7 linked regions of the Macaca fascicularis genome follow. The protein of the gene in region 6 purifies or fractionates together with the protein of the main gene of each other region. This does not show direct contact. Links are inferred from orthologs where the notes say so. Each region holds a gene or a part of one and is shown on either strand. Other genes may lie near its edges. The genes, in order: PDS5A, USP13, NIPBL, PDS5B, WAPL, SMC3 and REC8.

The links.
Region 1: the proteins of SMC3 (region 6) and PDS5A purify together in Homo sapiens (affinity purification with western blotting; 8 studies listed by BioGRID and IntAct, with this or other methods). This does not show direct contact. The link is inferred for Macaca fascicularis from reciprocal best matches to the Homo sapiens genes SMC3 and PDS5A.
Region 2: the proteins of SMC3 (region 6) and USP13 purify together in Homo sapiens (affinity purification with mass spectrometry; 4 studies listed by BioGRID and IntAct, with this or other methods). This does not show direct contact. The link is inferred for Macaca fascicularis from reciprocal best matches to the Homo sapiens genes SMC3 and USP13.
Region 3: the proteins of SMC3 (region 6) and NIPBL purify together in Homo sapiens (affinity purification with western blotting; 4 studies listed by BioGRID, with this or other methods). This does not show direct contact. The link is inferred for Macaca fascicularis from reciprocal best matches to the Homo sapiens genes SMC3 and NIPBL.
Region 4: the proteins of SMC3 (region 6) and PDS5B purify together in Homo sapiens (co-immunoprecipitation; 7 studies listed by BioGRID and IntAct, with this or other methods). This does not show direct contact. The link is inferred for Macaca fascicularis from reciprocal best matches to the Homo sapiens genes SMC3 and PDS5B.
Region 5: the proteins of SMC3 (region 6) and WAPL purify together in Homo sapiens (affinity purification with mass spectrometry; 7 studies listed by BioGRID and IntAct, with this or other methods). This does not show direct contact. The link is inferred for Macaca fascicularis from reciprocal best matches to the Homo sapiens genes SMC3 and WAPL.
Region 7: the proteins of SMC3 (region 6) and REC8 purify together in Homo sapiens (affinity purification with mass spectrometry; 3 studies listed by BioGRID and IntAct, with this or other methods). This does not show direct contact. The link is inferred for Macaca fascicularis from reciprocal best matches to the Homo sapiens genes SMC3 and REC8.

What each region holds. Positions count from the first base shown.
Region 1 is NC_088379.1:39,170,145-39,173,644, forward strand, and holds part of PDS5A (sister chromatid cohesion protein PDS5 homolog A), read right to left. Parts: intron 2,193-3,500; coding exon 2,069-2,192; intron 946-2,068; coding exon 787-945; intron 1-786. UniProt on the Homo sapiens protein: Probable regulator of sister chromatid cohesion in mitosis which may stabilize cohesin complex association with chromatin. May couple sister chromatid cohesion during mitosis to DNA replication.
Region 2 is NC_088376.1:91,427,980-91,432,110, reverse strand, and holds the start of USP13 (ubiquitin carboxyl-terminal hydrolase 13), read right to left. Parts: upstream 2,801-4,131; 5' UTR 2,625-2,800; coding exon 2,457-2,624; intron 1-2,456. UniProt on the Homo sapiens protein: Deubiquitinase that mediates deubiquitination of target proteins such as BECN1, MITF, SKP2 and USP10 and is involved in various processes such as autophagy, endoplasmic reticulum-associated degradation (ERAD), cell cycle progression or DNA damage response.
Region 3 is NC_088380.1:37,376,700-37,379,352, forward strand, and holds the end of NIPBL (nipped-B-like protein), read left to right. Parts: intron 1-254; coding exon 255-620; 3' UTR 621-2,153; downstream 2,154-2,653. UniProt on the Homo sapiens protein: Plays an important role in the loading of the cohesin complex on to DNA. Forms a heterodimeric complex (also known as cohesin loading complex) with MAU2/SCC4 which mediates the loading of the cohesin complex onto chromatin.
Region 4 is NC_088391.1:12,291,725-12,295,973, reverse strand, and holds the start of PDS5B (sister chromatid cohesion protein PDS5 homolog B), read right to left. Parts: upstream 2,801-4,249; 5' UTR 2,657-2,800; intron 2,197-2,656; exon of another isoform or gene 1,818-2,196; intron 1-1,817. UniProt on the Homo sapiens protein: Regulator of sister chromatid cohesion in mitosis which may stabilize cohesin complex association with chromatin. May couple sister chromatid cohesion during mitosis to DNA replication.
Region 5 is NC_088383.1:60,172,456-60,175,955, forward strand, and holds part of WAPL (wings apart-like protein homolog), read left to right. Parts: intron 1-2,478; coding exon 2,479-2,706; intron 2,707-3,500. UniProt on the Homo sapiens protein: Regulator of sister chromatid cohesion in mitosis which negatively regulates cohesin association with chromatin. Involved in both sister chromatid cohesion during interphase and sister-chromatid resolution during early stages of mitosis.
Region 6 is NC_088383.1:119,651,594-119,655,857, reverse strand, and holds the start of SMC3 (structural maintenance of chromosomes protein 3), read right to left. Parts: upstream 2,801-4,264; 5' UTR 2,678-2,800; coding exon 2,663-2,677; intron 1,541-2,662; coding exon 1,465-1,540; intron 1-1,464. UniProt on the Homo sapiens protein: Central component of cohesin, a complex required for chromosome cohesion during the cell cycle. The cohesin complex may form a large proteinaceous ring within which sister chromatids can be trapped.
Region 7 is NC_088381.1:91,987,134-91,991,108, reverse strand, and holds the start of REC8 (meiotic recombination protein REC8 homolog), read right to left. Parts: upstream 2,801-3,975; 5' UTR 2,376-2,800; intron 2,275-2,375; 5' UTR 2,189-2,274; coding exon 2,133-2,188; intron 2,029-2,132; coding exon 1,960-2,028; intron 1,842-1,959; coding exon 1,542-1,841; intron 1,450-1,541; coding exon 1,329-1,449; intron 1-1,328. UniProt on the Homo sapiens protein: Required during meiosis for separation of sister chromatids and homologous chromosomes.

The sequences.
Region 1 (3,500 bases), on a different chromosome or scaffold from region 6:
TTTTTTTTGGAGATAGAGTTTCCCTCTTGTTGCCCAAGCTGGAGTGCAACTGTGCAATCTTGGCTCACTGCAACCTCTCCCTCCTCGGTTCAAGTGATTCTCCTGCCTCAGCCTCCTGAGTAGCTAGGATTACAGGCGCCCGTTACCATGCCTGGCTAATCCACTTAGATTTCTAACAATGTCTGATAAAACAAATTTTAACCAGGCATGGTGGCTCATACCTGTAATCCCAGCACTTTGGGAGGCCAAGGTGGACAGATCACCTGAGGTCAGGAGTTCAATACAAGCCTGGCCAACATGGTGAAACCCCGTCTCTACTTAAAATACAAAAATTAGTCAGGCGTGGTGACAGGCACCTGTAATCCCAGCTACTTGGGAGGCTGAGGAATGAGAAGAGGCCAAGGTTGCAGCGAGCCACTGCATTCCAGCCTGGGGTATAGAGCAAGACTCTGTCTTCAAAACAAAAAACAAAAATAACCCAATTCTAACATTCCAGAAAATGATAAACTGTCTTTTGAGGGTCAGGAAAATAGCTTTTACTTATATTTAACTTTCATGATTCACCAATCCCATGTTCTAATTTTTGTTTCTTAAGTGTGAAATTCTAGTAGTAATAGCTACCATGAAATAACGAAGTAGTTTGGAATTTAAATAATAAATAAGTAGAACCAATATAGAATAATTTAAAAGAAAAAGAGAATTACATAGAAACAGAAGTGTTTCTGTGATGAAGATGTAAACAGTCTTAGTCTCATGATTCTCAATTTAATTAAATGAGAAACTTACCCTGTCATTCATTAGCAGATCTTTCACAATAAAATTTGCTACTACAGATTTCATTGGGGAAGCAAACTGATCTGGTGCTAACATAGAAATGTGGCCCAATGAAACTAATGGAGTTATAAGTTGTTCTGGCACATCAGCATTCAGACTCCTACTGAGTGGCTATAAAAATAAAACAGACAAAATTACCAATTTGTTTGATAAATATCTAGACACTCTACTGAAACAGTACATTTTCCTGGTCCTCCTGAATTTATCATGCCCAAACCAATCTTCTCTAATATGATCATAACTAACTTCAACCTAAGACACCTGGTACTTAATTCACCTACTAAAATTTAGCAAGATTGAAAGAATGTAGAAAAAACATAAAAAATAAAACTCAAAAGAAGTTAAAAAAAATTTTTGCTTCATGAAATCAGCATTATTTTTGACTAATTTACAACAATGGATTTGCTATATTGGTGGATTTCTTATCCTGTGGGAACATTTTAAATGACCTTAAATCATACAAAGTAAGAGTTCACTGGGTTTTGGTCACACTACCTTCAATTTATGATAATAGGAATACATTTCTAATAGTAAAATGAGGCCAGTCATTATAAGTAAAGAAAGGGAAACAGGATTGTCAGGTAGGGCTCTTAGGTACTTAAAACTGGATTGTTCAAAATTATCTACTAATACTTTCTGAGGATAAATGCACCACTGAACCAATAAGGCTAAAATTAAGTAAAACGTTCTAACATAAACACGTAAGGCCAGGTGTGCTGGCTCATGTGTGTAATCCTCGTACTTTGAAAGCATGAAGTGGGTGGATCGCTTCAGTCTAGGAGTTTGAGACCAGGCTGGGCAATATGGCAAAACCCCATCTCTATAAAAAATCCAAAAATAGCTGGGCATGGTGGCAGTGCCTGTACTCTCAGCTACTTGGGAGGCTGAAGCAGGAGGAATGCTTGAAACTAGGAGTTCGGGGCTGCAGTGAGCAGAGATCGCATCACTGTACTCCAGCACTGGTGAGAAAGTGAAACCTTATCTCAAAAACAAACTAAAAAACAAACAAAAACCACAAAACCCTTCAATATGAGGTGTTTGAACATATAATCTGATCCACAGGCCGGGAATGCAGTACCATATAAAATAGACAGAATCCTTGCTCACAAGGAATTTATATCCTAGGGTAGGACTTCATATAAACAGCTTTAAAAAATCTAGCTTCCATCTTCATCAAACTATACAGCTTAAAAAATAAAGACCAATATAAACACAACCTATATATTAGATATACCTCAAAAATCTGTGCAAGCTGGACTTCTTTATTTGTGAATATGGCGTGTATACAGTGCACAGCCTGTTTTGCTTGGTGTGGAGTACCCCTCTTTGCTTTTTGATGTAAAATGGGAATTAAGGTCCTGCAAAAAATAATATAGTTTTTTTTTTTCTTAAACCCATAAACAAACAATTATTCCTTTGGTTGACTTCCACGTCCCCTATATGGATGGATGCTGGTAGAGAAGGCTCTCTTAAAAATTATCTGATCTAAAGAAACTTGTAAAAAAGCTCCCTCTCTGCCCCCAAGTATAAACCAAGAAATACAATGCCTCAAGAAAAAGCCTACTTGAGGAGACAATTTTCATTTTAAAGCTACCTGACAAATATGCAAAATAACAAGTAACCCTTAATTCATAATCTAAAGCTTATCCCATGACATATTTTTACATTTACCTTCTAAGTAGGAGATTGCTAATTTTTCAATTCCCTTTTATAATCCCCTTCAGTTATTTCAAAGTAGCTATGGAAAGAGAGTAGCAAAAGACCAAGTTGTATTAAGCAGCTGAAATAATACTAGTGAAAGAAAGTATGCAAAGATACAGCTACATATATATCACTAGGATGGCAATATAAATATCTAACTATTATGTGCCAGGCACCATTCTAGGTATTTCTGCATGGATTAATTCAACTAATGTTCACATCCACCCAAAGACGACTATTATAGTCATTACACAGATGAGAAAATTAAAGCACAAAGATGTTATTTAAGCCTCCTAAGATGACGAAGTTAGGAAACTGGGAGTTGGGATTTGAAAATTAGCACCTCTTTCAAAATCCATACACTTACCCTCTACACTGACAATGAAAAGTAATCTAAAACAGTCTTCTTTCAGGACGAGATGGAAAAACATGTAACACTCTCCAAAAATTAAATGTTGATGACACGAAAAAACATTAGGTAGAATGAAGAAAACAGTGTGCATATATGAACTTATAAAAAATAGACAAACACATCTAGTAGATGAACATTCATAGAAAGTATACATATCAAATGTTAATGGTGACTATTTCGTTACATCTTTTCTAGTTTCAGTTTGCTGCAATGAACATTAAGTATTTTTATAATCAGAAGAAAATTGATGGCCAGGCGCGGTGGCTCACGCCTGTAATCCCAGCACTTTGGGAGGCCGAGGCGGGCGGATCACAAGGTCAGGAGATCGAGACCACGGTGAAACCCCGTCTCTACTAAAAATACAAAAAATTAGCCGGGCGCGGTTGTGGGCGCCTGTAGTCCCAGCTACTCGGGAGGCTGAGGCAGGAGAATGGCGTGAACCCGGGAGGCGGAGCTTGCAGTGAGCCGAGATCGCGCCACTGCACTCCAGCCTGGGCGACAGAGCGAGACTCCGTCTCAAAAAAAAAAAAAAAAAAAAAAAGAAAATTGATAA
Region 2 (4,131 bases), on a different chromosome or scaffold from region 6:
TGCAGTGGCTCATGCCTGTAATACCAGTACTTTGGGAGGCCAAAGTGAGTGGATCACTTGAGGTAAGAAGTTCGAGACCAGCCTAACCAACATGGCGAAACCCTGTCTTTACTAAAAATACAAAACTAGCCTGGTGTGGTGGCACACGCCTGTAATCCCAACTACTTGGGAGGCTGAGGCAGGAGAATCGCTTGACTCCAGGAGGCGGAGGTTGCAGTGAGCTGAGATCATGCCATTGCACTTCAGCCTGGGCAACAAGAGCAAAAATCCATCTCAAAAAAAAAAAAAAAAAAAAAAAAAAACTTCTCATTATCAAGCACTGTGCTTTAAGATAAATATTATCAAACCTTCCTTCCCTTCCTGCCCGAAACATAGATAATGAAATATACTGATTCATCAGCCTTGTAAATTAATCCCAGTCTCCCACAAGGAACTGCTATGATGTGACTGAAATCATCAGTCTACACTGGACGAGATGTTTCTAGAATAGTAACATTCTAGAAACACACACAGTAAGCTCCCAATAACTATTTGTGGAAGTGAATTTTAAAAATCAGCCTTTTTTTCCACACCTGCTATCCACTACATTATGCAGCAAAAACTTCCAAGAGCAAAGTTTGTAAACAGAATTTGAAGAAGAGCCCAAATCAAACATGGGGAAAGTCATTTGACCCCACTTTCCATGTCATGCTATCCTAAAAGACTTAAGCCACTTTCTTCCTCGTGGAGGTAACAGTCTGTCAATTGCTTAGGTTAGTTACCACTATCATCCCTCTCCAACTTTAGGAACTGCCCAACACTGGCCATACAATCTGAAAATGGCATTTTCAAATAATTTATGGATAACATACTAAGAAAGGACTGCCGATTCTCACATTCCACTCTGGATCTTTTCGAAATAAAAAAAAGTAAGCAGTCAAAAAATAAGTTAGGTTTTATCCCTCAAATGATATGTAATTACCATAAATAAAAAAACTAATGTCACAGAGAGGATACTAACTCTGATACTCCAATGTGTATCGAGCAAAAATGCTTTGCAGCCAGCCAAAATCAACCCACAGATAATAAAGGAAACTTTGGAAATGTTGCCGCTCATTTGGACTTTTCTTTTCCCCTCTGACAATACTCCACATACTATGAATCAAAGGTATTGGACAATTGCAAGACCTGCCTCGGTCCATCCAATCCATGCGCCTTCCAATGCATTGAGATCTGCCGGGTGACATATGAGATCTAAAGTGGGTGGATAAAAATAACTTGGTCCTCAAAAAGACATGATAAACGCCAGACAGCTGAGTCACTTAGAAGCCTATTTTGACTTTTGAAAGGGACATTCACCCTCCTGCTGCTTCTCACACTTTCACATAGAACCAGGTGAAAACCACCACCAACCGCCCCGGTAGAAGGCGGCGATCCCTCTCAGCTTCCTCCTCCATTCTCCGAGGTCACGACTCGGGATTGAACTTTTAATAATTTATACTTGAGCATGTCAGTCCAAGTGACTCATTTAGAAGGGTAAGGGGGAAAGGCTTAAGAAAACCATCACAATCCAGTAGATCCCCTATTTCTGCTGCCCGATTGGAGGCACCGGAAGGTTTCGTCTGCCTTTTTTTTCTTTTCCTTTTTCTTTTTTTTTTTTTTTTTTTTTTTTTTTGAGACGGAGTCTCGCTTTGTCGCCCAGGCTGGAGGACAGTGGCGCGATCTCGGCTCACTACAGCCTCCTCCTTCCCGGTTCAAGCGATTCTCAAGCCTCAGCCTCCCGAGTAGCTGGGACTACAGGCGCCCGCCACCACACCCGGCTAATTTTGGGGGGTTTTTAAGTAAAGACGGGGTTTCGCCATATTAGCCAGGCTGGTCTCGAACTCCTGACCTCAGGCGATCCGCCCGCCTCCGCCTCTTAAAGTGCTGGTATTACAGACGTGAGCCACCGCGCCCGGCCCTGACATTCTAAAGGCAAGAAAAGGAGTAGGGTGAAATGGGAAGTGGTGGAAGAAAAGCTCAGAGAGCAAATCAGAATTGTCCAGGAGTGGGGATCCCTGAGCAAAGCAAGTGGTCCCAGAAAAGGAAGGGCTGTGTGTCCGGGGGTGTGGGGGAATCATCCCGTCCACCTACCCGCCCTGCGCTCTGCCCCGGGGAGGACGCAAACGATCTGCAACGTGCAGTTCGGAACAGGGAACTCTTGGACCTCATCTATCTTTAAACGGCGGCGGGGCTGTGTGCAAGCTGCTGGGAATTGGGCCCTTCCAGCCTGGGGAGGCTGGAGGAGCAAAGCCACCAGTCCTCGGCTGCAGCAGCCCTGGGGCGCTCACTGTCTGCCGAACTGCAGTGCTCCTGAGCCAATTCTGCCGCCCAGAGAAAGAGAAGAGGTCCCCGGCCGCCACTGCGCATCTTCTACCCCGGCTTCACGTGCCGCAGGCCGCCGGCCCCGCGACCCTCCCCCGAGGCGCCTCACTTACGGGGGAGTCGTAGGAGAAGGCGCACTCGTTCTTGTAGACCCTGTCGCCGGACCTGGGCACGCGGATCGTGGGCATGTGGGGCACCAGCAGCTCGCCGATGTCTCCTGCAGCCATCTTCCGGCCTCCGCTGCCGCCCGGCATGCCGAACAGGGCGCCCCGGCGCTGCATGGCCTCGGCACGCACAGGAGCCGAGCGAGCCGAGCCGGAGCCGGAGCGCGCTGTCCGCCGGCGGCGGTGGCGCCAGCGAGCGGGCGGACGCGCGGGCTGCGCGGGCGACCGCAGCCGGGCGAGCCGGGGCGGGCGGGGAGAGCGGGCCGCAGGGCGGGAGCGGGCACCGGGGGCTCGGGGCGGGCGGGCGACGCTGCTATTTTTAATCCAATGGCGAGTCTCCGGCCCAGCTGCAGCGTCAGGCGGGGCTGGGGAGCGCCAGCCGCAGCGCGCCGGGGAGGGGGAGCTGGAGAGGGGCCCTGCGAGCGGGCCGGGCTCGGCGGCGGGGTCGGAGGGCGAGCCCCTGAGGCGTCGGCGCGGGAGCCCGAGCGGGCTGGCGGCCGACTGCGGCGCGGGAGAGCCCCGGGAAAACACCACGTAGGTGTTTTTCTATCCCGAACTCTTGGCTTGCAGAGGGGCAACTCCGAGGAGGCAAACACAAAGAGGAGGATTGGGGGTTTTAAAAACCGCTTGCTTTTAAAACAGCCAAAGACTAGAGCGGTGACGTCCCCGGATTGGGTAGGGGCAGGACTCGATGTGCAAATCTGGAATCTAACGTGAGGCTTAAATCTAAATTTGCGCCATGCACTTCGGTGTTTCCCCACTAAGCTTCGTTCCTTACTTTAACATCCAAAGCTCAAAAATAGAATAGAACAAGATCGAGTGAGGATAGAGGGTGTGTGTGCGTGTGTATAATAATAATATAGGTTTTCTTATTGGAGGAAGTCAGAGATGGTCAAGATTTTTTCAGGGCGTCGGGAGGCTTTCTATTTTTCTCGGCCTTTGGAGTATCTTCTATGTGATTCAAAGTTCCCATGTCGAACATTCAGTGGCCTGATTTGAGGATTTTGTAGGCAAACATACATATTCCTGTCTTACTCATCAGTTCCTCAAAATCAATGATGAATGGGATTGGGCTGGGGGGTTGATCATTTGCAAGCAGAGCATGTCTCCCAGCGTCCTCTCATTTTCTCCAAAAAACTCATAAGACGGTTTTAGTGACATAGAGGTTCTCTTAACTACACCCAATATATATATTCATAGCAGGGTATCCAGTTAATGAAACGCCGAAAGAGCGAGAAATAGTGAACCAAAACGCTAATTTTTGTAAACTTCTCCCAGATCAGACAGTCCTTAAGTTCTTTTTTTTTTTTTTTTTTTCTTACATTATTTATCTGTTAACTCTCCCTGGTTCTCCAGACCTGTCTCGAGATTTCCATACCCTCAAGCAAGCTTGGAGCGCACCACACTTTCTTATAACTCATCACTCCCAAATGCTATCTGTTGGAAACGGAGGGGGTGGCACTGAGCAAAAAATCAGACACTATTGTCATCTTCATCATTGGGGCAGATACTCTCAGCGAGCTTTTGCTTTGAATTTAGTCTCATCAGCTTATTACCTTTCAGGTTCATGGATGATGTTTTCTCCAATTACAGAGATAGACTTGGTTTTACGAAACTTAAAAAT
Region 3 (2,653 bases), on a different chromosome or scaffold from region 6:
GGTTCATATGTATATATAATTTTATATATCAATAAGAGTAAAGACACGGGTACAAATTAAGAGTTATATGGTTTTACAAGTATATGTTAACCCCTTGGCGCTGGCGGTCACGGTGCGTCTCATTGCCGGCAATGGAAGTGTGCCGGGAAATCCCAACTCCCGGCGTCAAGGGATTAAAAGCAATAAAAACAATAATTTCACTAAAATTCTTTTGTGTAACACTTGGTCTTTTTTCCCCCCTCCCAATGTTTTAGTCATTGAGAAGGTCAAAACGAAATTCAGACTCTACGGAGTTGGCAGCACAGATGAATGAAAGTGTTGACGTCATGGATGTCATCGCTATTTGCTGTCCAAAGTACAAAGATCGACCACAAATTGCAAGAGTAGTACAGAAAACCAGCAATGGCTTCAGTGTTCAGTGGATGGCAGGCTCCTACAGTGGCTCCTGGACTGAGGCTAAGCGCCGTGATGGCCGCAAACTGGTGCCTTGGGTAGACACTATTAAAGAGTCAGACATTATTTACAAAAAAATTGCTCTAACGAGTGCTAATAAGCTGACTAATAAAGTTGTTCAGACTTTACGATCCCTGTATGCCGCCAAGGATGGGACTTCCAGCTAATGAATTTGTACATGCAGCCAAATTTACAGGAATTTTTTTAAAAGGCAGAAAAACTTGAAATACCAACATTCTGGCAAAAAAAAAAAAAAAAAAATCAGTTTTATGAAGAGTAAGTGGAACCTGGGATGCAGGAACAAAAGAAGGAAATGTTGGGCAAACATTTTTGTGGGAGCTCCCTTCGCTGTTGTGCAGCAGAAACAGATTCTCAGTTCATTTTTACTCCCACTGTATTATAGTTTAACAAAAATTGTTTATATCTTGGAAAAAAACTTTCTGTTTAAAAAAAATAAACAAGTGAATGTTGGAAATTAGTCTGTTAATGTTCTTAATAAAGTGTTCTTGGAGTTTAACCTAGCAGCGGATGGCTTTCTTTAGCTTAGCCCAGTTTCCAGGGAAGCGTTGTTTTTTCCAGGCTGTAAAATGGCAGAATCTCCTGGATATATAATTTATTCTGTTGAAAAAAAAAAAAAAAGCATGCAGTATCTATGACCTATCTGCAGAAGGAGTTTTTGTAAATGTAGATTTTGATGTATTAGGTCACCCTGAAAACAATACAAGAAAAGGGATCCCCAGGTAATCTGGTGGAGCGAATACTGCAATAAATTTTTTTACTTCTCTTTGTTACTTGTCTGTTTCCATTTGAATTTCTTATTGTAAAAATCTGTTTAAATCCATTTATATTATTTTACAGTCTTTTATGTAAAATTTATTATATCACTGGTTTTCAAAGCAAAACATAAAATATTGTTTATACAGTTTGTATAGGCTGACTTCTGAATAATTGGTATCTATCTATTATTTTCATTCCCATAAGAGGGTGTAAACAATTAACTCCAGGGTTTTATTGTATCCTGCAATATTTAGTATTAACTATATATGATTTAGCACTGTGCCAAACACATTTTCAAGAGTACATTTTGATATAAAAAGAAACTATAGTTTATTCCTTGTATGCTTCAATTTCTTTCTAGTGATGTCATGATGCTGATACTTATTCTTTAAACCTCGGGTAAAAGGTAACCTGCTATTTGGAAAACCAGCATTTCTCTTAGTTAAAATGATGTCGTGTTATTTTAGAACTAAAGTTGAGATGAGTATGCCACTTCATAATTACACTCACTACATTTTTCACAAATTATTTTTTAATGCTGAAAAGAGTAATTTTACTTGTTGAGATGTTTATTCATTTTCTATTCTAAAAGCTTTATCATAAGTTTTTTGGGAACAGTTGTCATTTACACATTGCTTACTGCAGATATCTTGACTAGATCAGGAGGGAGGTGTTTAATCATTTGATGTGTATAGTTGACACTCAGGAATAGTAATGCCTAAAATTTACAGTGGAATGAGGTCTGTTTCAAGTTTAAATCTTTTAAAAAATGTTTTACTCATTTTTAAATCACTGAAAAAATTGACCTCCAGAATGCTGTTTTATGAAATTGGCAAATAAATGAAGGTATTCAATTTTTGAGGAAGAATGACATTGCCACAAAATACTTTTTTGTGACACCTATTAAACCACTATGAAAATAACTTTTCAGGATCTATTTCCTATGTGGAATTCTTTCAAATGCTTTCTTCACAGAAATGTTCTCTCACTCTTCATTTTCTTCCCCTTACTTACATGTTTCTCTTTTCCTTATACTGTGAACTCTGGAACAAAACTAGATTGGGTTGGTTGGTTTGTTCTTCTTGGAGTTTATGTATATCAACAAAGGATTTGAGGTCACTTCTGAAAATAATATATCGAAAAGAGTAAAATACTGGTTAGAGAAAATACAAGAATAAAATCCAGCCCAGAGAGAGTACTAAGAATATAAATGTGAGTAAAAAGCCAGTTTTGAATGCTATTTACCTGACAGCGATGCGTGCTGTCATTTAATTCTCACAAAAACTCTAGTTATATATTTTATCCTCATTTTGTAGATAAGGATAGCAGGCTTAGAAGGATTTGGTAATTTAGTAATGTCGTGATAGGGATTTAAATCTGGAATTGAAGTAATTGTGTCTCACTAATTGAGCATCAGACATTA
Region 4 (4,249 bases), on a different chromosome or scaffold from region 6:
GCTGCCCCAATTCCACCACATGAATACGACTGTGACCTCAGATAAATCAATGAAATTAAAATCTGAACCGAATTTCTCATGTATAAGCGAGTTGGAGATCATCCTTAAGTTTTCTTGTTGCTCTCTAACACTAACGGAGGAAACATAAATAACTTTTCCAATATAAGTTATATACAGTCCATGTCATTCAAGAGTCCATAAGCCAAATCTTACTGAGCGCACTCCTGTTAGTTCTAAGGCAGTCTCTAAATTTCCCAAGAGGAATAAGCAGAAAGAATACAACTTCCCGAAATATTCCTTTCTCACAAAGTTTTGGGTATTTTCTACCATTGCATTCTTCTCCAGGGCAAGCCCTAACACAAAGTATTACTTTATCTTAGGCCTAACAAATTATTGATAAAGCCTACTCCTCAAAATGTTACTTTGTTAAACAAAGCTGCAGAACAATTTAAACAACTTTCATCAAACAGCCAACTCGGTAGAATCTTACTACAAGTAAGCTTAATACAAACATCTCACGACAAGAATCACTATCATCAGTACATGTGTCTCTAATACGGGGGTAAAAATGAGAGGGGAGAGACATAACACGAGAGAATAAAGGCGACAAGAGTAACAAAAGCTGCTGTAAAAGGTAATATAGGGAAAATCAGCCTTAACCAAAACAAGGAGAAAAGAAAAAAAGAAAAAGGGTGAACACAAACACTACCTTCCCATTTAAAATACACCTTTAAGTAAACGCCAGCTGAGAAGAGGACAATTTTTTAAACCATCAGAAAAAGGAGGAAAAAGTCACTATTTGGATAATTTTTATAAAGTCTAAAGTGCATCTTTTTACATATACTTGTAAACGTATATTAAGCACAAATCTTATTTCTAAGGAATAACGTTCTTAAAATGTTTTTAGTTTCTGACAATCAATCGATCTTAACATAAAAGGTCCCATGTAACTTTCACCTATTCACCACTACAAATTTTAATTCGGTTTTCTGCTATCACCATGAGATACAAGATTAACTGTTCCACGAACTGACCCACATACACCATTGAATACTCATTTCATTGTCCCTAAAGATGCGAACATCTCAGACATGTGTACTGCATAACGAGCTGTCTTTCAAGTCCATATTTGTGGCTTTTAACTAGTTTACCTGACCACTACATGAGTTAATATAAAAAACGTTCTGTCTGGGAACTCTGGATGGGTTAACTGAGAACAACGACTATATTGCCGTTCAAGTATTGGGTAATGACGATTTATTTACAGCTCGCCTCCTGCATGTAAACACAACGTGAGTTTTTGAAGTTTATTAGGAAGATGGTATAGGATTACCCAACTCTCTCCACACCGCAGACCAACCCTCTAAATTAAAGCTATATCCAAAGTTTCTGAAACTATTTCATCGACAGGGTAGGATCAGTCGGGGCACCACTGCCCATCCATCACCTCTTATTAAAAGTACAAGAAGCACTTTCTTCGACATAAAAAAGGGTTAACCCTTGCTGGGGTAGAGAGGCTGTTGAAGACGCGCGCGGAATGGGTGGGTAGCTGCTCTTTCAACCCTTCCCGGAGCTCGCCCCGTCCGCGGCAAGGAACGCAGCAGCCTGCAGTTCCGAAGGCGAGGGGCGGCGTTTCTGGTTTCAGTCATTCCTCCAAAATAACTGTCGAGCTACTTCAGAGTTAGCTTTCACGTCTCTACCAAAAACCAACAGCAGTAGCAGCAACAACAACAAACAAGGTTTTTCTCCGGACCGAAAACTTTTAAAGTAGCATTAAAATAACAGTGCAAAAACATTAACGAGTCACAATTGCACACCATTTTCCCCGCCGTTCCTTCCGAAAGGAAAGCTAGAACCCAGTTGTCGCCTGGGAGGAGTCCCTCCACGCCAGCGCTGGGCTCTTGCTCAACGGGGTCCTCAGGTTCCCCGAGCACCCACTCCGGGCGGCGCGGTGAGCGCGATTTCCCTCGGGCAAGCAGCGAGGAACAGCGCAAAAATGTCATGCTCAGCCCGTCCCCTGGCCCGAAGCGCAGGCCAGGCGGCGCGCGGGGAGCCGGCGACGAGGGCGAGGGCGAGGGCGCCCGCGGCCCCGACCCGCGGTCCCCGCCCGCCCCTCGCCCGGAAGGGGGAGAAGCCCGCCCGCGGGAGGATTCAACAGGAGCACCGCGCCGCCCGCCTGCCGCCCGGGAAACAGCCGCCGGCCGGCCGGGGCGCGGGGGGAGGGGCGCGGCGGCGGCGGTGGCGGCGGGAGGGCGCGGGCGGCCGGGCGGCCCCGGGACCCCAGCCCGCGCGCAAGGTCACCGCCCGCCGCCGCCGCCGCCCGGGCCGGGATCAGAGCGGCAAGTTTAATTTCCAGAGGCTGCGGCAGAGCCCGCGGCGTGGAGGCGCGAGTCGGCCGCCGGGCCCTCCCCACCCCCACCGCGCAGCCGGCCCGCGCCCCGCGACCCCCGCCCCGGGCCGCCGCCAGGCAGCCGCCCGCTGCAGCCCCCGATGCCGGGAGGCGAGTCGCGCCTGGCACCCGGGCGGGCGGCGCTTCAGCCCTGCCACACACACACACACACACACACACACAGCTGCAGTGGCGGCCACCGAAAAATGGAGCGCCGCGGCCAGAGAAGAGAGACATTTTCTTTCCGTTAACTGAATTGTTTCCTACCTCCGGGTTTCCGACTCGCTACTCCTCTCACTCCGCGGCTCTCCGGGATCCGCCGCCGCCGCCGCATCCAATCGCCTTCTCTCCCCCCTCCCCTTCCGCAGCCAGCCCGGCCGTTCCTCCTCCTCTCCGCTTCAAAATGGCGCCAAGCGCTCTTCGGCGGCTGCTCCAATCGAACCGCCGCGGACAGCACCCGGGGGCAGGCAGAGCGCGGCATGGGTGCGCAGCGCCCCCTGCCGACCAGACGGCCCCGCGCGCGCCCGCCCTCCGAGCTCCGCCCCGCCCCGTCCGCGCGCGCGCACTCCCCTCCTCAGCCCCGCCCCGTCCGCGCGCACGCAGCCACACGGGCACGCCGCCGCGGAGGCCGCGAGACTGGCAGCTGTCAAGGCGTCCACTACCCTTGCAGCTTACTAGACCTCCACCGACAAAAATCATTCCGATTGTTACGTAGCCCTATCTTTTTAGATAAAGATTGGGAGATTTTTTTAAACACTGACATTCAGCACAGGTGTTGTGCTAGGTTAACATAATTGGTATTATTAACTACTTTGCTCCTTGTTAATTCTGACCTAGTCGTCTCGGAATGCCATACAAATAGTTTTCCTACACTTTATGTGTTGTGTCTTTATTAAATCTCCCCGCTTTCCTAATTTGATGAATTGTTCATAGGTGGTAAGCTGGCGGAGACACAGAGTAATTGAGCCTGTGACGAAGCATTCTATTCCTTTGGCAGAATTGTCCTTATTAGAGGAAGACATCATCTGGAGACCACAGGGACACATTCCAGGAGGTGGGTCTCCTCCCCTCTTCACCTTTAGGGGATGCCAGTCCCTCAAGTGGGTTTAGCCTGGTCACAACAGATCACCTACCTTTGGGGAAGCTTTTCCTCCCCTGCCAGAACTGAAGAAGGGACTTCCTCCTCTTTTTACTTTAATATCATCCCTTCTGTAAGGAAGTTTCCCCCGATATGATGTATTTGGTTACTAGAATTTTGTTCCAGGGAGAATTTGTTTCAACAATGAACAAGCAAAGGGTGAATGAATGGATTACAATAGGATACTTATCAACTGAAAGAAAAGATAGGTAATGCTGATCTGTAAACTAATGTTACTGTGCACCTAGAGATACTAGGTGCATTTTCCTCTGTCTGTCCTAATGGTAATTGCCTCATTCACCCTTACCATGTAGCTGTTTTGAAGGCTATCTCCTTTCTGCACCTAGAGATACTGAGACCTCTTCATTTCCATTTTTGTGGGATTTCCTGGACAATTCCGCTTCAGTCTCCTACAGTGCTTGCTAGACCAGTATGTTGTGTTACTGTATTCCTATGTCCAAGATTTTGCCACTGAATACTCCAGGTTCTACCCATTTTACACATTCCTTGATGAAGTCCACTATGAGTTTTTTCTGCTCTCTTTTTAAAATTATCTCAGGAATTTTCTTATTTTACATTGTTGTTCCATCAGCATAAATCTTGTATGGAAGAAGAGAGTAGGATGTCTAGATCTAGAAAAACCTTTCCTCTTTGGTTGTTTTTATCTTTTTTACTTTATTTTCTTCAATTCCCAAACCTCCAAAGCCAGGAAGCAAGAAAGT
Region 5 (3,500 bases), about 59 Mb from region 6:
TAGTGAAACCTCATCTCTTAAAAACAAACAAAAAATAGAATTTGCTTTATTATGCAGTTAACAGTGAACTTAGACATTATAGTGTGTGATTTTAAGGGCAGTGGATCCCCAATGGCCTTTACTATGGCATCCTAATTTCCAAAAATAATTTGCTATATAAACATTTAATCAGACACCTGGTCTGATGCTTCTCTATTTCTGGGGGCTCAAAGTTTAAATCTTTAGATAGTTGCATTTTCTGTATATTGAAATAAGTGTAAGTACAGAATATCTCAAGTGTTGGGATATCCCAAATGTAAGACCTTTTTTTTGTATTCACATTTATCTAGAATATTTCACCTTCAGTATTTTTAGATTGTGTTAGTAGAGTGTCCTGGCCAGGTGCGGTGGCTCACACCTATAATCCTAGCACTTTGGGAAGCTGAGATGGGCAGATTGCCTGAGCTCAGGAGTTTGAGACCAGCCTGGGCAACATGTGAAACCCCATCTCTATTAAAAATGCAAAAAGTTACCCGGGCGTAATGGTGCGTGCCTGTAATCCCAGCTACTCAGGAGGCCGAGGCACAAGAACTGCTGGAACCCAGGAGGTGGAGGTTACAGTGAGCCGAGATTGTGCCACTGCACTCCAGCCTGGGCGACAGAGCGAGACTCCCTCTCAAAAAAAAAAAAAAAAAAAAAAGTAGAGTGTGCTGACTTAACTACCTGATCTGAGTGATTTTGAGACAGTTTATTAATGATTTAAAAAATTATTTGGTTCAACCAGAGTTGATTGGTTTATTTTATTTTTTTAAGTGATCCTCCCAACTCACCCTCTCAAGTAACTGGGACTACAGGCTCCTGCCACTATGCCAGGCTAGTTTTTGTATTTTATTTTGTTTTGTTTTGTTTTATTTTATTTTTTATTTTTTTATTTTATTTTATTTATTTTGAGATAGAGTCTCACTCTTGTCACCCAGGCAGGAGTGCAGTGACACCATCTCAGCTCACTGCAGCCTCCGCCTCCTGGGTTCAAGTGATTGTGCTGCCTCAGCCTCCCGAGTAGCTGGGATGACAGACGAGCGTCACCATGCCCAGCTAATTTTTTTGTATTTTCAGTAGAGACGGGGTTTCATCATGTTGGCCAGGCTGGTCTTGAACTCCCGACCTTAGGTGATCTGCCTTCCCCAGCCTCCCAAAGTGCTGGGATTAACAGACGTGAGCCACTGCGCCCAGCCTAATTTTTGTATTTTTAATAGAGACGAGGTTTCACCATGTTACCAGGTTGATCTCGATCACCTTACCTCAGGTGATCTGCCCGCCTCAGCCTCCCAAAGTGCTGGGATTACAAGTGTGAGCCACCACGCCTAGCAATTGGTTTATTTTAAAGAAATCCAAATACGTGTATTTCAGCATCCTGGGTTTATATACGGATGCAAACACAGCTGTGTTTTCCAAGGGAAAAAATGTGTTAAGGGTTTGATATAGATTTAAAATTATTATTTAAATTATTGATTTTAAACTGAAATATGACTACTATGTCATAAAGAATAGGCTGGGCGTGGTGGGTTACGCCTGTAATCTTAGCACTTTGAGAGGCCAAAGTGGGTGTATCACTTGACCTCACGTGTTCAGAACCAGCCTCGGCAACATGGTGAAACCCCATCTACAAAAAAATAGAAAAAAATCAGCTGGGCATGGTGGCGTCTGCCGATTGTCCCAGGTACTTGGGAAGCTGAAGTGGGGAGGATTGCTTGAGTCCAGACAGACAAGGCTTCAGTGAGCTGATGTGGTGCCACTGCAGTCTAGTCTGGATGACAAAGTGAAACCTTGTCTCAAAAAGAAAAAAAATGAGGTATGTCATAATAGAATTTATATATATATATATGCACACTCACACACACATATCTGTAAAAATGTTCTATAAACTCTTCGTTTAGCACAGAATAGCCAAATAAATATTTAACTCAGCTTATATTCTTCTAGCTATCAGGCATTCATATATGGATGATCCATTGAAAGGAAAATTTTAAGCAACAGCGTTTAATTTTTTTTTTTTTTTTTTTTTTTTTTTTGAGACGGAGTCTCGCTCTGTCGCCCAGGCTGGAGTGCAGTGGCGCGATCTCGGCTCACTGCAAGCTCCGCCTCCCGGGTTCACGGCATTCTCCTGCCTCAGCCTCCCGAGTAGCTGGGACTACAGGCGCCCACAACCGCGCCCGGCTAATTTTTTGTATTTTTAGTAGAGACGGGGTTTCACCGTGGTCTCGATCTCCTGACCTTCTGATCCGCCCGCCTCGGCCTCCCAAAGTGCTGGGATTACAGGCGTGAGCCACCGCGCCCGGCCAGCGTTTAATTTTTTAAACATGTTTCTTCAGAATATTTGGTAATATGTTTTAAGTGTTCTAACTTGTAAACAAAAGTCATTAACCATCTTATTTCCTGAGATGTCAGGAGTTGCTTACATGAACTTTTTTCTCTTTTCCTTTTTTTGGCCTGTGGAAGAATCTGTCCCTGTGTACAGCTGCCCTCATGTATATACTGAGTAGAGACCGTTTGAACATGGATCTTGACAGAGCTAGCTTAGATCTAATGATTCGACTTTTGGAACTGGAACAAGATGCTTCGTCAGCCAAGCTACTGAATGAAAAAGATATGAACAAAATTAAAGAAAAAATCCGAAGGCTCTGTGAAACTGTACACAACAAGCATCTTGATCTAGAAAATATAACGGTGGGTTCCTTCTTCCTTCCTTCTAAGATGAGAATTACTTTCATAAAGTCTTTGGTTAGTTACAGCAGCTGTGTGACTGTGGGCAAATTATTTTAACTCTAACCTTGGTTTACAGTTTGGCAAATTTCTTAGGTTTAGATCTGAGCATAATTTCCTTCCTTTCCTGAACTTCCTAAACTAGTTTATCTGTATTTAGGCTTTTTGCCCAGTAAATAGTTGCATTTTCTGTGCATTTTTTCTAATCCTTTTCTCTTTATTTTTTATTTTTTAAGGAAAAAAATGGGCCGGGCACAGTGGCTCATGCCTGTAATAACCAGCATTTTGAGAGGCCGAAGCAGGTGGATTGCTTGAACCTGGGAGTTTGGGTCCAGCTTGGGTGACATGGGGAAACCCCAGCTCTACAGAAAATACAAAAAGTTAGCCAGATATGGTGGTGTGCACCTGTAGTCCCAGCTACTCAGGAGGCTTAGGTTGGGGGAATATCCTGAGCCAAGGGAGTTTTAAGGTACAGCGAGCCGAGGTTGTGCCCCTGCACCTCCAGTCTGGGTGGCAGAGTAAGATCGTCTCAAAAAGAAAGGGTAGAAACTACATTTAGGCTATTAGGAATTTGAATTCTTTTTCTCCATGGATTTCAGGAATAAAAGTTTCAGAGGATTTACGTCTGCCATTTTCTTTTTTAATTTTTATTTTATAATAATAGTAATAATTATTATTTTTTGAGACAGGGTCTTGCTCTGTTTCCCAGGCTGGAGGGCAGTGGTGCAGTCATAGCTCATTGCAGCCTCAAACCCCTA
Region 6 (4,264 bases):
AATGAGGACATTAGGATGGGGCCATGTGAGCACACAGCAAGAGAGCAGCTGTCTGTAAGCCAGGAAGAGCACCTCACCAGAACCTAACCATGCAGGTATCCTGATGATGGATGTCTGACCTCCAGACTGTGAGAAAAAAAAATATCTTGTTTAAGCTACCAGTCTACGGTATTTTGTTATGGCTGCCTTAGCAAACTAATATACCGCTTAGTCTGGACTCTGTACAGCAAAACTGCGTCAATAGCAGTCTGTTTTTCTGGTGTCCAGAAGCACTCCTTTCATCTATCCTGTAAAATACTCAGCAGAATGTCAGAAAACATCTTTGTTAGCTGTATCAGCAAAATGCACACTACAACCTGAGCCATCTATAATGACTACATATTGTTAATGGCAATCACCATTAGCCCTTTATTCTCACACTTACATAAGGGTTCTCATTTAATCTTCCCAACAGCCCTATGAGACAGGTTTACAAATGAGAAAACTGAAGCTTCTCAAAGTCTCAAAAAGAACGCGTGACTGGGATTTTTTTTTTTAAATTATGATACTAGGGTACATGTGCACAACATGCAGGTTACATAGGTGTACACATGTGCCATGTTGGTGTGCTGCACCCATCAACTCGACATTTACATTAGGTATTTCTCCTAATGCCATCCCTCCCCCAGCCCCCCAACCCCCTACAACTGGGATTGGAACCCCATTCTGTTATGCTCTAAAATTTATGCTCTTCCAATCTAGCTACATGGTCTGTCCTTAGAGACACTGAACTAGAGGGTTGGGGGGAGGGCAGGAATTCTGGGATCTACTTTGTGAATAAAAACTGTCTTGTCTCTGAAATAAGGCAACAGTCAGCATTTTAAGATATATAACAAGAACAGAAGGGCGCAAATGCTTTAAAACTCTCTTACACATACACACAAGGCTACCCAGGTAAAAAATGGGTAACTTGGCCGGGCGCGGTGGCTCAAGCCTGTAATCCCAGCACTTTGGGAGGCCAAGACGGGCGGATCACGAGGTCAGGAGATCGAGACCATCCTGGGTAACACAGTGAAACCCCGTCTCTACTAAAAATACAAAAACTTAGCCGGGCGAGGTGGCGGGCGCCTGTAGTCCCAGCTACTCGGGAGGCTGAGGCAGGAGAATGGCGTGAACCCGGGAGGCGGAGCTTGCAGTGAGCTGAGATCCGGCCACTGCACTCCAGCCTGGGTGACAGAGCGAGACTCCGTCTCAAAAAAAAAAATGGGTAACTTATGAGTGTCTTATCCAAACATTTTAAGTTCATAGAAATAAGCAATTCATCAGCGCAATAAGACAGAAAAGTTATTTCAAGCAGAAAAATATACATAACTTTACTTAACATTCAAAGACAATTCCTGTCTCCTTAAGCCAATATACAAATCGACAGAATTTACGTTATCTGTATAGACTATAAATATGACCGAGTAAACCAAGAACACTTACCAATCACATTATGTTTTGAACTGAAGGGATCTACAATTGTTTGATCTCTGTAACTTCGAAAACCCTGGATAATCACCTAGTAAATAAAAAACACTTTTGAGAACTCACCCCCCCCCCAAAAACAATACATTAACATTTTTCTCTTGAATTTCTTTCTTGTTTCTCATTTAATGCAATATAGAAAACCTGCAATTTCATATAAGAAAAATTCATTTTGGAAAGTGGTGATTAAAAATCTGCTTTAAAAGAAAAAAAAAAAAAGTCCATTCATCGGTAATCTTTGCCAGTGCAATGCTGCTGGGTTTTATTTTTTTTAGGCGTTATAGTTGTCAACCTGTTAAGGATCTTTCAAAATCAAGAACCCTGTGTGAGCCTAACTGGAACACTAGACACTGCAGTACAATAGCAAGTCTATCCAGCAGGCCGACCGGCCCCAGCTCTCCTGACTCCAAGACCACCGAGCGCTGCTTTCAGTCACTCACACCGGCCAGCGCCAGCCAGAAAGAGCCCACGTTCCAAAGGAGTGCTCAGAGCCCGACAGATCCAACAGAAAACCGTCTCCAAGGCCGTGTGCCTGGGCTCATCTTTGTGGTGGACTCCCGCGCGGGAAGACCCTTTTGACAGAAGTAAACAACCGGGGGAGGCGGCGCTCCGCATCCTGCAAGCAGGAGGGTCCCGCTCACTTCGCGGGTTAATCCGGGAGAGGAACGGCCCCCCGCAGTGACACCTGACACCCCCAGCCTGTGCCCCCAAGGCCGCCCCCGAGCCGGGGAGGCCACGTTTCCACACATCCCACGCACATGACCCGTGCGAGGCCACCCGTGCAGGACCACAGAGCCCTTACGCCCGCGGCCGCCCCGGCGCGGTGCCCCCGCCAGCTCTCGGGCCGCCCGGGAAGGCCCAGTTCCACCCAGCGGCCCGCCCGCCCGCCCGCCCTTCCACACCTCTCGGAGATCCTGCCTCTCCTAGACCAGCGCCAGCGGGGAGGCCCAGGCTGCAGAGGGGCACCCCAATTCTCCGCGACCCCGCAGCCGGGACACTCGCGGGGCCTGGGGTCCCCTCCTCCCCCACAGTCCCCGCCCAGCCCTGGTCCAGCCTGTGGAGAGAGGGAAAGGCTGCGGGTGGCGCCGCAACACTCCCGCCTCAAGGAGCAGTCCCTACCGGCCTATGACGGGGTGGAAGGACGCGAAGGCCTTACCTGCTTTATGTACATGATTCCGGGCCCCTGGCCTGGAAGGAGACTTGCCCCGGAGCAGCGACCGCCCGGCTGCACGGTCAGGTGAGGCGCCTACGCGACCCCTCCCCCAAAGCGCCGCTCGCTCCCCTCCAGCCAAACAAAATGGCGGCGCTCGTGGAGGCGGAGTCCGCGCCTTGGAAGGAACCACCTTGCAGCCCTCACAGGGCGTAGGAGGAGTCAAGTTCAGGTCTGCTCTTTCTTTTAGGCAAAACCAGTCTTCCACAGCGTTGTTTGATGGATTTCATTTGAATATAGAATTCTGTAGCTAACGGTTTCCTGAGACTTAGTCAAAAGCTTCACTCGGAGAAGCCATGACCGTAAGGTTGGTCCGTACCCCCTCCGAGCGCAGGGCCAATGGTCGCGTCCACGAGGGGGTAAGGTTCCGCGCCAAAGCCGGGTGGGAGACTCCGAGGGCCAGTAGCGCTGCGGGCCGTCGGCCACGTGATTCCGCACTGTTTAAAAAAGGGGACCGCGCGCGCTGTGCCAGTTCTGGAACACATGGAATGCTGGTGACTGTTGGAATTCTGTGCACAGAGTCCCTGCTGCCCCTTTGTTATAGCTCTCCCTAGGAACGTTTACAATCTTAGCACGCCCCAAGCTGGTTCCGAACTGCCCACTCGCAGGACAACCCCGAAGGGATTTGTCAATGCTCGAAAATTTGTTTTAATATGTTAATTAATTCCCTCCGTAACTGTTTCTACTCTGCCATCTGCTATAAATCTAGGCAGATCTGTATAATTGCAACAAAGATTTAGGTAAGGCTGAAAGGTTTTAATCTACTTTAAAAACAAAAAAAAACATCCTGGCTTAGGTGCTAGTGGCAACCCTAGGTCTCTCTGATCCCTATCAGTCTTGGGAGAAAAACATCATTTGTTTAAAAAATGGATCTCTGAGCTCTGAAATTACTTGCTGGGAAGAGAACAAAATACCCAGATCATCCCCAGCCCTCCGGCCCGCTGCTGGAGGCAATTCCGGCCTTGATTATTTCTAGATTGAACTATTTTTAATAGCCTCCTAACTGCCTCTGTTAACCAGGGTATCTCCCTAGGAGTCCTTTATGTGGAGCCCGGATAAAATCCTATCCAGCCCTTGCTTTAAAATAAATAAATAAATAGGCCAGGTTGAGTGGCTCACTCGTGTAATCCCAGCACTTTGGGAGGCCGAGGGGGGAGGATCATCTGAGGTCAGGAGTTCAAGACCAGCCTGGCCAACACGGCGAAACCCCCGTCTCTACTCAAAATATAAAAATTAGCCAGGCGTCGTGGCGGGAGCCTGTAATCTCAGCTACTCAGGAGGCTGGGGCAGGAGAATTGCTTGAATCCAGGAGGCAGAGGTTGCGGTGAACCAAGATTGCACCACTGCACTCCTGCCTGGGCAACAGAGGGAGACTCTGTCTCAAAATAAATAAATAAATATTTAACCATTTTCTTTTCTTCTATTTTTTTTTTTCTGACAGGATCTCGCTCTGTCACCGCTCTGTCACCCAGGGTGGAGCGTAGTGGCTCGGTCATGGTTCACCGCAGCCTCGAACTCCTGTGTTCAAGCCATCCTCTCACCTCAGCC
Region 7 (3,975 bases), on a different chromosome or scaffold from region 6:
CTAGGGAAACAGCACAAGCAAAGACATGAATGTGGTATCATTGAGGCATAAGGGCCAAACTAGTGTTTAGGAGCCACAGATGCCCAGAGGACTGAGAGAGAAGTCTGGGGATGACTAGTTCTAAACCAGGGTATGTGCCGGGCATGGTGGTTCACGCCTGTAATCACAGCACTTTGGGAAGCCAAGGCGGGTGGATCGCCTGAGGTCAGGAGTTCAAGACCAGCCTGACCAACATGGTGAAACCCCGTCTCTACTAAAGATACAAAAATTAGCCGGGCATGGTGGCAGGCACTTATAATCCCAGCTACTTGGGAGGCTGAGGCAGGAGAATCGCTTGACCAGAGGAAGTGGAGGTTGAAGTGAGCCAAGATCACACCACTGCACTCCAGCCTGGGTGACAGAGACTCCATCTTAAAAAATAGTAATAATAGGCCAGGCGCAGTGGCTCACACCTGTAATCCTAGCACTTTGGAAAGCCAAGGTGGGTGGATCACCTGAGGTCAGGAGTTCGAGACCAGCCTGGCCAATATGGCGAAACCCCATGTCTACTAAAACTAAAAAAAAATGGGCCAGGCGCTGTGGCTCATGTCTGTAATCCCAGCACTTTGGGAGGATGAGGCAGGTGGATCATGAGGTCAGGCGTTCGAAACCAGCCTGGCCAGCATGGTGAAACCCTGTCTCTACTAAAATTACAAAATCATTTGGGCATGCTGGCGAATGCCTGTAGTCCCAGCTACTTGGGAGGCTGAGGCAGGAAAATCACTTGAACCAGGGAGGCAGAGGTTGCAGTAAGCTGAGATCGTGCCACTGCACTCCAGCCTAGGCCACAGAGCAAGATCCTGTCTCAAAAATAATAATAATAATAGTAATAAAATAAAAAAATAAACTGGGGCATGGAGAGCCCCAAATGCTAGTAATCTGTTTGCAGCAGGAGCCACTGTTCAAATGGGGAACTAAGGAAGGAGGTGACATTAAGCTGTTGGAGTATTGGGAATAGATGGAGGAGGACAGGGGTAAGAAAGCCCAGTACAGAGAGATGAGAGCCTGGATTAGGGCCTCGGCAGTGAAAACAGTGTGGAGACAAGTGGGGACAAGAGCTGCCTCCAGTGGGGAAACCATCTGATCAGATTGGCCCCGAGTAGATAAGTACAGGGGGCTTCGCCTGGATGGATCCACCTTGGCAGTCCCCTTGTTACCACCTCCCGTGGGAGAGAGCTGTGGCAAGCTTCCCCCCCCAACCCCAATATCAGAGTGACACAGGGACAGCACTCCCCTTCTGCATTGTCAATTCACGAGTCTGGGGGAATACGAGTCTGGGGGAATAATACCTGAGGGATATCGAAAGGACTAGGAAGTCTGGGATCCACAGACATCATCCCAAAAAAGGGATCTGGAGCATCTTCTAGGGTTTCCATCATGGCCAGGTGGTTAGGAAGCAGTAGGCTGGGTCTGGGAGAGAATGTAGGCCGTCAGGGACTGAGGCTGAGCTAGGCTGAGGCCAAATTAGCAGGTGTTCCATCAAAGGCCCAGGGAACACTCACAGCTCAGTCTCCATATCTATTCGGATCTGCAGCTGGGCACGGTGGAGGCGCTCCAAGATGTGCTGGATGTCCTCTGTGGGCAGGGAGGGCGAGGTAGACAGCCAGCTTAGCAGACAGCTGCTCAGCCCGCCCCACCTCTGAGGGTTCCCAGCCTTACCCACGAGGTACTGGCATTGTTGAGAATAGACGCGGATCACACCGATCTGAAGTTGGGCTGAGAGATAGAGGGAGAAGCGGGGCCGCGGCAGGCCGGGCTGCGGGGGTTGCACTCGTACCAGCACGTAATTGAGGATTTCCTCGCTGGGGAACAATGGGCCCTGATTACCGCTGCGCCCAGGACTGGGCCCACAGCGTTGCCCACCCCATCCCCTAACTCACCCCCCCGCCCCAGGCCCTCCTTCCCTTTTCTGGGCCTTACCAGGTCTTCACCACATTCACCCTCAGGTATTCGCGCTTCACCAACCGGCTGCCGCGCGTCGCTGCCAGCCTGAAGTGGGTGGGGAAGGTGGGAAAATGGGGACGGAGGGGGAGCTGTCAGGCTGGGATCCCGGCCAGCATCCCCCATCGCACGCCCACGGGCCCCACCCTTACCAGATGGTGGCAAAGCAGCCGGTGTGGCGCTGAAGCACGTTGGGATAGTAGAACATCGTCCCTCTGGCCTTTCACCCTCAATTCCACCAGATCGCCGTTTGGATCTGAGTCGGAATTCTTTAGGGCACAGAATTCCCAACACCTTGGAGAGAAGTCAGGATTTGGACTTCTCTGGTGGCAAGGTGGGTGCACCCAGAAAACCAAGTTAATGAGGCAATGAACAATTGGTGTATACACGATTACCGGGATAACTGAGATGCAGGAGATGGGCGCCCCTCTCTGTGGACCCTCAGTGGATCCGCTCGCCACGTGATGCGTCGAACTTGAGCCTTCTGGGTTGGGTTCCAGGTTGGAGATGCAGAGCTCCAAGGGGACGCCCGGGCCGGAATCCAAAACAGGTCCCGAGGGAGCACGGTGTCCTCCACAGCAGGCCTCGGTCCTCGAGCGCTGGGAGCGATATCAGGCCCCTGGGACTTTCACTGGCTTGGGCGGCCGCGGTGTGGGCCCGGGATGTCTCCCGCAGGACTAGATGGCACCGCGGGAAGCGCGCGCTCCGGAGCCCCGCACCTCGCTCCTCATTAGATGGCGGCTTTTGCCAGGACAGCCAATGGGGAACAGGGGTCGGGTCGGGAGCGCCAAGTAGCCTAGGCTCGAGGCAACAGGGTCTCCCGAGGCAGCCAGCAAACCAATCATAAGGACTCTGCGTGCCGCTGGGGTCCATTGTGAGGTGTTCTGACCAATGGGCTCTGGTTCTCGCCTCTAGTAACAGGCGCTCCTTCCTTGACCAATGAGCGCATCCCCGCCGCTCGCCTCTAGCCTGGCAACAAGGGCGCCTCAATTGGTAGGGGAGGTCGGGTCACGTCGGGGGCAACTGTGCTGGGTCTCTTCCGGGTGCCAAGATGTACCTTGCAACGCGCCTGACCTGAGGTTAGACCCCGCCCTCCCCCCAGTCCACAAACTCCTACTTTGTTTCCAACTAGGGCGTGTCGTGTGCTGCAGAGGTAGAAAGATGTGAGATGAGGCCTGGAGCGGTGGCTCACGCCTGTAATCCTAGCACTTTGGGAGGCTCAGGAGGGCAGATCATGAGGTCAGGAGTTCGAGACCAGCCTGATCAACATGGTGAAACCCCATCTCTACTAAAAATACAAAATTAGCTGCTCGTGGTGGCACAAGCCTGTAATCCCAGCTACTCAGGAGGCTGAGGCAGGAGAATGCTTGAACCTGGGAGGCGGAGGTTGCAGTGAGCCGAGATTGTGCCACTGCACTCCAGCCTGGACAAGAGAGCAAGACTCCATCTCAAAAAAAAAAAAAAAAAAGATGTGAGATGATAGTCTTGGAGCCCCCACAGGTCAATGAGGAAGAAGTCAATCGTTTTTGTTTTGTTTTGTTTTGTTTTGTTTTGAGATGGAGTCTCTCACTGTTGCCTAGGCTGGAGTGCAGTGGCGCTATCTCTGCAATCTCGGCACACTGCATCCTCTGCCCCCCATCCCCTCAGGTTCAAGCGATTCTCATGTCTCAGCCTCCCGAGTAGCTGGGATTACAGGCACCCTCCACCACACCCAGTTAATTTTTGTATTTTTAGAAGAAACGGGGTTTCACTATGTTGGTCAGGCTGTTTCTTTTCTTTTTGAGATGGAGTTTCACTCTGTCACCCAGGCTGGAGTGCAATGGCGCAGTCTCAGCTCACTGCAACCTCCGCCTCCCCAGTGCAAGGGATTCTCCTGCCTCAGCCTCCCGAGTAGCTGGGATTACAGGCACCCACCACCACCCCCGGCCAGATTTTGTATTTTTTAGTAGAGACAGGGGTTTCACCATATTGGTCAGGCTGGTCTCGAACTCCTGA